Rattus norvegicus: one gene and its partners. The protein of the gene in region 1 interacts with the protein of each later gene in a pairwise test. Links are inferred from orthologs where the notes say so. Each region holds a gene or a part of one and is shown in the gene's direction. Other genes may lie near its edges. The genes, in order: Tle1, Hes6 and Foxa2.

Region 1 (3,745 bases):
GGTACTTTCACTGAGATTTTCTTCAAGGAAAAGCAGAGCGAGCCGCAGGCTTCTGCAAACTTCAGCCCCCTGCTTTTTCTTGCCTGCCGCGCGCAGGTCGCTCGGCTCGCGCGCACTGGCGCGCTCCCTAACTCGCCCCACGTTACTTTGATTGACAGCCCGGCCCGCCGCTCTCCTTCCCACCGACCTTCGGAAGCGGCTTGCCAATCTCGGCGTCTAGCCGCTCCCCATTGGCTGGCGTGGGTGCCCCGCAGCTCCTCGGGCGCCGCGGCACTCAGAGCGCACAGGACGCGCTGGCGGAGGAGGGGCACCGGCGGGTGGGCGGGGAAACAAGGCACAGAGGCCGCGCGAGGTGGGCGGAGCGAAGGCCAACACAGGCTGTGGCCGGCATGCGTCAGTAACCCACGTTGGAGCGGCGCACGTGGTTGGCCGAGCGGCTGCGGCTCCGCCCACGTCCGTGGCCGCCTGGGTGCTTGCAGCCCCCGCCACACTGCTCGGGCGGGGTGCTGGTTTGCTAGCGAGTGTGAAACCGCGTGTTAATGTAAGCGGCGCAAGAGGCGCGGGCGGCGGCAGGAGCAGCGGCGGGGACCCCGCGTCCCGGGGCAGGAGCCGGGACTCGCCTTCGACGTGGCCCTCTGTGGAGGGAGGCAGAGCGGCAGCGTGCTCTCCGTCGCGCGGACGTTTGCCTCCGGGTCGTGAGAGAACTTTGCGCCGGCTGGAGCTGGTCAGCCCTTTGCTTAGAGCCGAGGAGGGGAAGGCAGGCTCTAGGAGTGTTAGAGCCGGGTAAAGCGCCCGGCGGCCTGATGCCCGGGGCAGGGGCGCGGCGGGCGGCCAAAGAGCTGCACCGCGAGCAGTAGCCGTGGACTGGAGGAAGAGCGCATACTGGCGTGACCCTGCCTGGACCCTGCTTGGGCTCCGCAGCTTCAAGCCGCGCCGGAGACTCTGCAACGCCGGTCGACGAGCCGGGGGTAACCCGGAGCACACCGTCGTGGGAGCGGGTGACCTCCCGACCCGAGAAGCGGCGCTCGCCTCTGGCTGTCTACGTGGGTTTTAGCCAAGGCGCCACCTGCACAGCCGCCGACGCAGGGAGGAGACACACAGCCCCCCTGCATCCGTGAGCCACCGAAGGGAGCGCACCCCGGGCACCGGGTGGAGGGCCGCGGTAGGTCCGGGCGCCCCCGCTGCTCAGACTCCCAGGCGCGGGGCCGAGCCGCCCGCAATGTGGCCCTGAGGGCGGGGGCCGCACCCGTCGCGCCCTGGCCTTGCATCCCGAGCGCCCCGTGCGCCGGCCTGCTGCGCTGCTTCGCGTTCCTCGGTGGAATTCAAGTTGGAAGTGGCGCGGAGGATAGAGCTATCCCGGAACAGAGCCGCGGCTGCTGCCAGAGCGATGTTCCCTCAGAGCCGGCACCCAGTGAGTCGTCGGCGCGGGTGGGACCTTGCCCCGCGCGGGAGCCCAGGAAGCCCCATTTTCCCTTGCCCGCCCCCCCTCCTACTGGATGTCTAGACGGGCAGACGGGCGGACGGGCGTCGCGTAGTCACTGCCCGCTTATCCCGAGGCAGGAGTGATCCCTGCTTTGCCCTCGTCTTGCCTGTTTACTTGTAGTCAGTGCGGCCCGGTCACTCCGGGACTAGGGGCCGAGAGGGAGTTGGCATTTCATCTCCAGATCCTGGGTCTTTCTCGCACCGGTTGGGGAGGGGCAGCCGGGACAGTGGAGCTCTGACTTGGTCCTTCTCAGCCTCCTCCGGGCCGGGTGACCCCAGAGCACTGGGCACACACTGTCCACACTGGAGGCAGACTTATTTCTGAACCTCCTGAGAAATCAGGGTCCCAGGAAGATCTGCTTTCTCCCTCACTAAAGTGAACCGAGGGCTCGAGTTTGGGCCTCCGTTTTCCACCACCTCTAACTTTATTTATTTATTTATTTATTTATTTATTTATTTATTTATTTTTTGTTTATGTCCCATCTGCTTCTCCCTCTTCTGACTTTTCTGCTTTATGCCCTCATCCTCATATCTCCTCCCTTGGTTACCCTTGCTGGTCACCTGCAGACGCCGCACCAGGCTGCAGGCCAGCCCTTTAAGTTCACTATCCCGGAGTCCCTGGACCGGATTAAAGAGGAATTCCAGTTCCTGCAGGCGCAGTATCACAGGTGCGTGTCGACCTGCTCGGGTGGTGGTCACTTGGGGGGTCTCTTCTCACACAGGCCAGGCTGCTAGGGCTGTTGTACTTAGGGCTTGTGTCCAGGCGGTGGCGTGTGGAGTCACAGTTAAGTCCTGTCATTCACATTACCCCCCTTTCGTCGCTCTTCCTGGGCCGTCCCTTCTGTTGTCTCCTCCTCCTCCCATTGTTTCCCCTTTGCGCATTTGTGGCAGTTCCAGGGAGTCCCTTTTCGTGTATTTTGGAGTTGCATGAGAACCGTCAATATTTGCGCTTCGTTTATTTGTTTTGCAACAGGCTGAACTGAAACATGGGTTCAATCAATGGCTCAGTCCTAGAATGTGCGTTCAGGAAAGCAAAGCCGTGTTGCAATCGCTGTTTGCCATACTAGAAAATTGGGTTGCCTGAGACAAAGTCCATTAGGGAAGGCTAGATGGGTTTAGCTGTGCCCATCAAGGGTGATTAGGTGGTAAGATGTAGTTATGCGTGGCCCACACTCTGGGGTGTTTGGATAGACTAGGGAACTAGAATCACATTCACCTCTGTTCTGGGTTCTTTATGTAATCATACCTTCTTCTTTGGATTGGTTAGTGGAAATTATAGCTAAAAGCCCCATCTGTAGTGAATAGTCCAGAAAAGCTACTTATTTTTCTACTATGAGGTTTTGACTAATTGGCGCAAAGCAGTTTCTTCGAAGATTTTTACTTTTATCATGCTTGAGAAAAAGGACCAAGGAGAAGCTTGGTGGCTTGGGTGTGAATTTTCTAAAGTTAGTCAGGGACTCTGATTTTTGACCTTTTATCTACTTTTATACCGTATCTCCAGAACTTGAGGCATACTTGCACACACTGTTTACTGAACAGGGACAGAAGAACTTCAACCCACTTCGTTTGCTGTAGCTGCTTGTCATGTCTTGGCAGGGATTCAAAAGGTTTTGAAAGGCACTAGTCACTGAGAGGAGTAACTTTACTTACCAGTAAAGTTTTCAGACCTGAAGACTGTCTTTGCTGGAGAATGGGGGTTGTGCAAAGGACAGACTTTGGTGCGGTCAAGAGAGGGGAGGACAGCTGAGAGATCTGTGTTTCCGTTCTTGGCCTCTCTACGGGACGTGTGCCCCACGAACAAAAAAGGACAGTAGTTGGTGGATATTCCCCGTTGTTCACCTTTTCCAGCATGGAATACAAAGACAGCTTTTAGGAAGTATGCCCAGCTTACAACTTTTCTAAATTGTTTTTGCTTGAAGTGCAAATATGGGAGGCAGATGTTAAAACAAGTGACATAATGTTTACCTTAAGCTGCCTGTTTTGTTTTCATAGTCTTAAATTGGAGTGTGAGAAATTGGCAAGTGAAAAGACAGAAATGCAGAGACACTACGTGATGGTAGGTATCAAAGCGAGGAGGACCTTTTCTCTTTCTGTAATGGTGTGTGTCCTTCCCACAACCGTGAGTTAACGGCATGCCTGGTTCTTCTCTTTACAGTATTATGAAATGTCATATGGATTAAACATTGAAATGCATAAACAGGTAAGCTATAGCTAAATCTTAAGCTTCGAAATCAGTTTGTAGGCTTTCACTGTACCGGCTTTG
Region 2 (3,339 bases), on another chromosome or scaffold:
GCGGCCAACACCTGTCGCTCCTGGCCGGGCTGCCGCTTTTCTCTGCCGAAGCGGCTGCAGCTGCCAACTGTCACGGGCATCAAGTTACCGGGGCCAGACGGCAGCCTTGGCCTGCAGGAACCAAGGATGGAAGGGGGAGGAGCTGAGTGGGGGTGGGGGACACTAAGGGGACTCGCGGGGAAGGGATGTGAGCGTGGGCTTGAGGGACAGGGATATGTGAGACCACTGGATGGGGGTGCGGAGGGACTAGAGGGGAATAAGAGGAGCTTAGGCGGGTACGTGGTGATGAACTAGGAAGGAGAAGCTTGGGGGAAGGGGGCGGTCGGGGGTGGAGCTAGAATAGACAAGGTAGTGGTTGTGTGACTTAGAACACAGAGAAAGAGAGGTTCAGTAAGAACGACCGAGGACCTTGGAGTAAGAAAGTTATAGGTGTCCTCATGAGTTCAAAAACCACACTAGGATCCTGGTCCTGCTGCTAAAATGGCCCCCACTTTCCCTGGACTTTGCACTCTCACCACCCGTGACCCGAAGCTCCTTCCAGGTCCCGAGGGCATGGACTTGACTTTGGCAATGCCCTGACTGAAACCGGCTCTGGGACTGGAGCGCTTTTCTGGAGAGCACTTTTGGTGAACCAGGGGAAGCAAATGCGCCATAAGGATGGATGGGTGAAGGGGTGGGTGAAAGGGAGGAATGGATAGATGTACGGACCGAAGAATGTATAGCTAACCCCGGGCTTACAGGTTGGAAGATTGGGGCTCAAAACTCGGCGGAGGGAAGTACAAGCACACCAGCAGGAGAGTAGCCGGAGGTCACTGCCCAGGAGTCCAACCCCTGAGTAAGTGGCAGGAGGTCGGACTGTGGGCTCCGCCCCGCCAGCTGCCAGAGCCCCCCTCACACCCCCCGGAGCCTAACAAAGCGCGCGGCTCTCATTGGCTGTAGGCTGCCTCGCGCTGGCCGCTCCGATCACACACAGCCAATCGGTGCATTGATATGTAAATAAGTTGCTATAAAAGGGGCGGGGCCCCACGGGGCGGAAGACTGGGGATAGCTAGTGAGGCCTCTGGGCTGCGACCTACCTCGCAGAGGGGTTTGCACTAAGGCGCTGGGCGCCGGGCTCCGGGCGCTGTGGACCATGGCTCCGCCCCAGGCGCCCAACAGGGACCGTGCAGGCCAGGAGGATGAGGACCGTTGGGAAGCACGGGGGGACCGCAAGGTGCGGACAGGGGCTGCGGGTGGATGGGCCTGCGGGAGGCTGCACGGGCCAGGGGCTCAGTAGCCGTTTCCCACAGGCCCGGAAGCCCCTGGTGGAGAAGAAGCGACGCGCGCGGATCAACGAGAGTCTTCAGGAGTTGCGGCTGCTGCTAGCGGGCACCGAGGTGCGGCGGAAAGAGTGCGGGGGGGTCTTCAGGGTGCGCCCCGGACACAGCCGAACTCAACTCCTTTACCCTCTGCGCAGGTGCAGGCCAAGCTAGAGAACGCCGAGGTGCTGGAGCTGACCGTGCGACGCGTGCAGGGCGCTCTGCGAGGCCGGGCTCGCGGTGAGTGGCGGCGGGGATCGAGGGCGGGGGCGCTGACCGGGCATGCCTGCCATCCAAGAGCCGGACACGTCGGCTCCCGGAGCCTCGGTCCTGTACATGGTGAGGGCTCCCCCCAGAGCAGGACACGTTAATGCGTCTCCTGGGTGAGCCCCGAACCCGCGGAGCGGATCGTCAGAACCACAGTAGTCACTGCTCACTGTGCGGGATGCCGCTCTCTTCTTCCCACCCTCCTGCACAGAGCGGGAGCAGCTGCAGGCTGAAGCAAGCGAGCGCTTCGCTGCTGGCTACATCCAATGCATGCATGAGGTGCACACGTTCGTGTCCACGTGCCAAGCCATCGATGCCACTGTCTCAGCTGAACTCCTGAACCACCTGCTAGAGTCCATGCCGCTGCGCGAGGGTAGCAGCTTTCGGGATCTGCTGGGGGACTCCCTAGCTGGGCTGCCCGGAGGCTCTGGGAGGAGCAGCTGGCCTCCAGGAGGGTCCCCAGAGTCCCCATTGTCCAGTCCCCCAGGTCCCGGGGACGACCTGTGTTCTGACCTAGAGGAGATCCCGGAGGCTGAACTAAACCGGGTGCCTGCCGAGGGGCCAGATTTGGTGCCCACATCCTTAGGCATCCTGACCACAGCTCGCCGGGCCCAGAGTGTGTGGAGACCTTGGTGACCAACACTTACCAGGGACCTGTGAATGGTGGGTGGGCTGCCATCCTTAAGTTTGCTTCCTTCTTGGCTATCAGATGAGGTGGAGATAGCCCAGGATAACCCCCAGATATGCCTTCCCCACTGTCCAATGAATGGATGGCTTGTATGGTAACCCTGATGACCAGCCCCTGCAGGTCCCTAGCACTATTTTGTGAGGGAATCAATTTCATGGACCCTAGAGCTCTGGATGGGGGCCAGGGTGGGGGTGGGGGAGGACACTACAGAAAGAAGGGAGACTCCTGTAGTGCTACCAGGACTCCCTCATGTTCACCTTTCCCTAGGATCTAGGGCAGAAGTGGCCAATCTTGAGGCTGAGCATGAGTGTCCTGGGCAGGGACACACAGGCCATAGCAGTCCTGACCTGAATAGAAGTTCAGATTTGCTACTCTGGCTAGGAGACCAGGAGAGGCAAGCATATTCCGCAGTCACTGAGAGGTGCTCCCTGTTTGTAACAGTTGTGTGTGTGAATGTGGTTGCCGTCGGATGTTCCAATTAAATAAAGAACTCTGGAGTTAGTCGCCCCTGGTGTGCCGTTGTTGTGTCAGATGTGTGACTGTTCAACTGCATCCAACACTAAGTGCATTCGTGTGGCCCCACCTGCTGGCCCGGTCCTCTGGGCTCTCCCACTTGGCCTGGAGTATGTGTCCAGACGATTCCACTAGCATGGGGTTTGTCTCCAGGGTAACTAAGCCACAGGGAGATGGCCTGTCCTTGTACTGTTCTCTCCTGAGCTCCCAGGACTACCATTGGTGACTAGTTACTAGCTCTTTGCCTTGGAAGTGTCTCTCAAAGGCTTGGCCTCAGGTTCATGAGTGTGGTGCAGATGTCAATCTTTCTCAGGATGCCATTTTTTTTCCTTTTTAAAAATATTGTATGCGCGTATAGGCGTATATAAGAAAGTCAGAGGATAACTTGGGGGTTGGTTTTCCACGATCAAACTTGGGTCCTCAGGTTGTTTGGGAAGCCTTTTTATTAGCTGAGCCAACTGGTGGACCCACTTGTCACTTTTCTTGGTAGGCATTTCCCCTGGTGCCACTGTAAAGAGAGGGAGTGCTTGCTGTGAAAGTGCCTTGGGCCTGAGGTTGGGCTAGACCCTGGAG
Region 3 (3,745 bases), on another chromosome or scaffold:
AGACAACGCGAGTCCTGCGCGCCTTCTGAGGCCTCCCTGGGACTTAACTGTAACGGGGAGGGGCCTCTGGAGCAGCGGCCAGCGAGTTAAAGGTGTGTACACAGTTTTTCTAAATAGGAAAGCGCTTTGCAAATTGGCTGTCACCTGCTTGTTGTTTTGACAGGGAATGTGCACCGAAAGGGAGGAAACCCGAGATAAATAAATCTGGCTTGCCTAGGCTTCGCTGGGCACCAAGGCGGTACGCGCCTTCGGATTGACGAACCCGGTGCTCCAGGCGATGAGGAGGGGCGGGGCGGGAGCAGGAGACCTGAGTTTCTCCAAGGGTGGCCCGATCCCAGATCTCTGGGTCCACGGAAGACTCCCCGTGGACGCAAAGGAAGGGACTCCACCAGGGCGCCAGCGCGCCTGCTTGCAGGTCCAGGTCTTGGGAGAGCAGGGGACAGCGGGAGATGGGCTAGCTCGGGGCGCCCAGCGGCAGGTGCGGAGCGCTAGCCCTGGCTTCCTCTCACCTAAGTGTGAGCTGATTATTCAAATGGGCTGCCCGGGGTCTGGGGATTGGAGGCCCGCGCCAGCGCACCGCGCTATATCACCAGCCGCTCACGTCATTGCGGCACTTGTCCGCTGCGAGGTCCACACCTCCTCCTCCTCCTCCTCCTCCTCCCCCTCCTCTCGCTCTCCCCCCGCCCGCCCCCGCGCCGCTAGCTTCCCGCCGCCTCCCGGCACCTCTACACTGCCAGCCTCAGCCTGCACCGGCAGCCCCGGGAGCGCGGAGACGGAGTGCACGCCCGACGGCGAGCCTCGGGTTCCGGCCTCCAGGGTTCTTCGGCCCCCTCCTCCGCCAGCCACCTTCCCGCCCACTCCCAGCTACCTCCCGCGGCAGGCCGCGGGAGAGAGAGGAAGTGGAGCCCAGAGAGGCAGAGAGGGGGAGCGCGAGAGAGGGCGGGAGGGAGGGGACGGTGCCATAGCTGACTTTTTTTTTTTTTAAGAGGGTGGGGGTGGGGGCTGATTGCTGGTCGTTTGTTGTGGCTGTTAAATTTTAAACCGCCATGCACTCGGCTTCCAGTATGCTGGGAGCCGTGAAGATGGAAGGGCACGAGCCATCCGACTGGAGCAGCTACTACGCGGAGCCTGAGGTAAGCTCTTGCCTTCGCCAGGGAGAAGTGGGGTGACAGCTATCTCCGCGTCCCCAGCCTCCGCACGCTCCCTTCACCGGTACCCGCCCCCCCCCACCTCTAGCCTTCCTGGACAGCCGCCTTTTCCGCCCTCCTTCTACTCAAATGGGTCTCTTTTTTATACGACACACTGTTAGCCTTGAGATAATATTAACTTTGTGATCAAATATTGACTTGCGGCGCCTCCAAATCCTCTTCGTGGCCGAGCCACGCACTATCCTAACAGAGTTATGTTTGGCAGCGCGCGGCTGGGGAGGGGTGGGAGGTCGGCTGGTGAGGGGGTGGGGAGCTGGAGAAGAGAAGGTGGGTAGGAGTTGGGGACAGAGGTGCAGGCAAAGAATCAAAGACTAGTGGACAAAGAGAAAAAAGTTTGTCGCCACGAAGCCGGGACACTAACAGTTCCTAGCCGAGTTGGCCGTACCTTCCTTATTCCTCCACGCAGTGCCTCCAGCTGCTCCCGGACTCTGTGCAGGCACTGCGCTTCACTCCCCTGTAACTAAAGAGTCGGGTCCCAGTATGAAGCCCCAGAACAGGGACACTGAGATGATTTCCACTTGAGACTGCCCTAGTGACGTTCCAAGGGTGGCTTTTGGCGACCAGGGGTAGCAACGGAGATTTCCGGCCTTGGTGCTGACTCAGTGTGCTAGCCAGCTGGTGTGAGGAGCCCCTAGGGAGAGTAAAATGGATTTGAGGCTCCTGACTTGTTGGCGATCCAGGACTCCAAAGTTCTAGAATGAGGGCGAGGCTGAGCCTCAGACCCAGAACGGCAACCCGCTGGCCCTCGGGCTACCACCTTTCCAGGACTCTCTGAGGCCCAGAGGACTTGGTGTTGGTGCACTGGGACCCAGGGAAAGAAAGAGATCCCGGAGGCCTGCACGAAGGCGGGGGACTGGGTGCAACCTATGGGTGAGAGGATCGGGCGAGCTCAGCCTAGGTGCTAACCTGTCTCCTCCCCGGGCTCTGTCCGCAGGGCTACTCTTCCGTGAGCAACATGAACGCCAGCCTGGGGATGAATGGCATGAACACTTACATGAGCATGTCCGCGGCTGCAATGGGCAGTGGTTCCGGCAACATGAGCGCAGGCTCCATGAACATGTCATCCTATGTGGGCGCTGGAATGAGCCCGTCGCTGGCTGGCATGTCCCCGGGCGCGGGCGCCATGGCGGGCATGAGCGGCTCAGCTGGGGCGGCCGGCGTGGCGGGCATGGGACCGCACCTGAGTCCGAGTCTGAGCCCACTCGGGGGACAGGCGGCCGGGGCTATGGGTGGCCTTGCTCCCTACGCCAATATGAACTCCATGAGTCCTATGTACGGGCAGGCGGGCCTGAGCCGCGCTCGGGACCCCAAGACGTACCGGCGCAGCTACACTCACGCCAAGCCTCCCTACTCGTACATCTCGCTCATCACCATGGCCATCCAGCAGAGCCCCAACAAGATGCTGACGCTGAGCGAGATCTATCAGTGGATCATGGACCTCTTCCCTTTCTACCGGCAGAACCAGCAGCGCTGGCAGAACTCCATCCGTCATTCTCTCTCCTTCAACGACTGCTTTCTCAAGGTGCCCCGCTCGCCAGACAAGCCTGGCAAGGGCTCCTTCTGGACCCTGCACCCTGACTCTGGCAACATGTTCGAGAACGGTTGCTACCTGCGCCGCCAGAAGCGCTTCAAGTGTGAGAAGCAACTGGCGTTGAAGGAAGCAGCGGGTGCGGGCAGTGGCGGAGGCAAGAAGACCGCTCCTGGGACACAGGCTTCTCAGGTTCAGCTCGGGGAGGCCGCAGGCTCGGCCTCTGAGACTCCGGCGGGCACCGAGTCCCCCCATTCCAGCGCTTCTCCGTGTCAGGAGCACAAGCGAGGTGGCCTGAGCGAGCTGAAGGGAACACCTGCCTCTGCGCTGAGTCCTCCGGAGCCGGCGCCCTCGCCTGGGCAGCAGCAGCAGGCTGCAGCCCACCTGCTGGTCCCACCTCACCATCCTGGCCTGCCACCAGAGGCCCACCTGAAGCCCGAGCACCATTACGCCTTCAACCACCCCTTCTCTATCAACAACCTCATGTCCTCCGAGCAGCAACATCATCACAGCCACCACCACCATCAGCCCCACAAAATGGACCTCAAGACCTACGAACAGGTCATGCACTACCCTGGGGGCTACGGTTCCCCCATGCCAGGCAGCTTGGCCATGGGCCCAGTCACGAACAAAGCCGGCCTGGATGCCTCGCCCCTGGCTGCAGACACTTCCTACTACCAGGGAGTGTACTCCAGGCCTATTATGAACTCGTCCTAAGAAGATGGCTTTCAGGCCCTGCCTAGCTCTGGCCACTGGGGAGAAGGACAAGGGAAATGACAGGCTGAGTGGAAACATTGGGGGAACTTTGAGGAAAAAGTAGCCACCACACTTAAGGCCCCAAAGGAGCAGTTTCACCTGTCTGTGTCCCTAAATAGCTGGGCCACACTGATCTGTCATTCTAAATAGGGAAGGGAATGGAAATATATATGTATACACATAAACTTGTTTTAATGGAGCCTTTGGTTCCCACTATGTAGACTACTGCTTCTCAAGGCACCTGCAGATTTTG

The links.
Region 2: the proteins of Tle1 (region 1) and Hes6 interact in binary tests that used the Homo sapiens proteins (3 or more experiments, as listed by UniProt). The link is inferred for Rattus norvegicus from reciprocal best matches to the Homo sapiens genes TLE1 and HES6.
Region 3: the proteins of Tle1 (region 1) and Foxa2 interact in a two-hybrid assay, tested with the Homo sapiens proteins (2 studies listed by BioGRID and IntAct). The link is inferred for Rattus norvegicus from reciprocal best matches to the Homo sapiens genes TLE1 and FOXA2.

Annotation. Positions count from the first base shown.
Region 1 is NC_086023.1:90,978,461-90,982,205, reverse strand, and holds the start of Tle1 (transducin-like enhancer protein 1), read left to right. Parts: upstream 1-1,277; 5' UTR 1,278-1,387; coding exon 1,388-1,411; intron 1,412-2,049; coding exon 2,050-2,150; intron 2,151-3,468; exon of another isoform or gene 3,469-3,474; coding exon 3,475-3,538; intron 3,539-3,637; coding exon 3,638-3,682; intron 3,683-3,745. UniProt on the Homo sapiens protein: Transcriptional corepressor that binds to a number of transcription factors. Inhibits NF-kappa-B-regulated gene expression. Inhibits the transcriptional activation mediated by FOXA2, and by CTNNB1 and TCF family members in Wnt signaling.
Region 2 is NC_086027.1:99,448,793-99,452,131, reverse strand, and holds Hes6 (transcription cofactor HES-6), read left to right. Parts: upstream 1-1,035; 5' UTR 1,036-1,132; coding exon 1,133-1,213; coding exon of another isoform or gene 1,214-1,289; coding exon 1,290-1,376; intron 1,377-1,456; coding exon 1,457-1,538; intron 1,539-1,776; coding exon 1,777-2,201; 3' UTR 2,202-2,749; downstream 2,750-3,339. UniProt on the Homo sapiens protein: Does not bind DNA itself but suppresses both HES1-mediated N box-dependent transcriptional repression and binding of HES1 to E box sequences.
Region 3 is NC_086021.1:155,923,668-155,927,412, reverse strand, and holds the start of Foxa2 (hepatocyte nuclear factor 3-beta), read left to right. Parts: upstream 1-924; 5' UTR 925-1,046; coding exon 1,047-1,133; intron 1,134-1,593; exon of another isoform or gene 1,594-2,142; coding exon 2,143-3,453; 3' UTR 3,454-3,745. UniProt on the Homo sapiens protein: Transcription factor that is involved in embryonic development, establishment of tissue-specific gene expression and regulation of gene expression in differentiated tissues.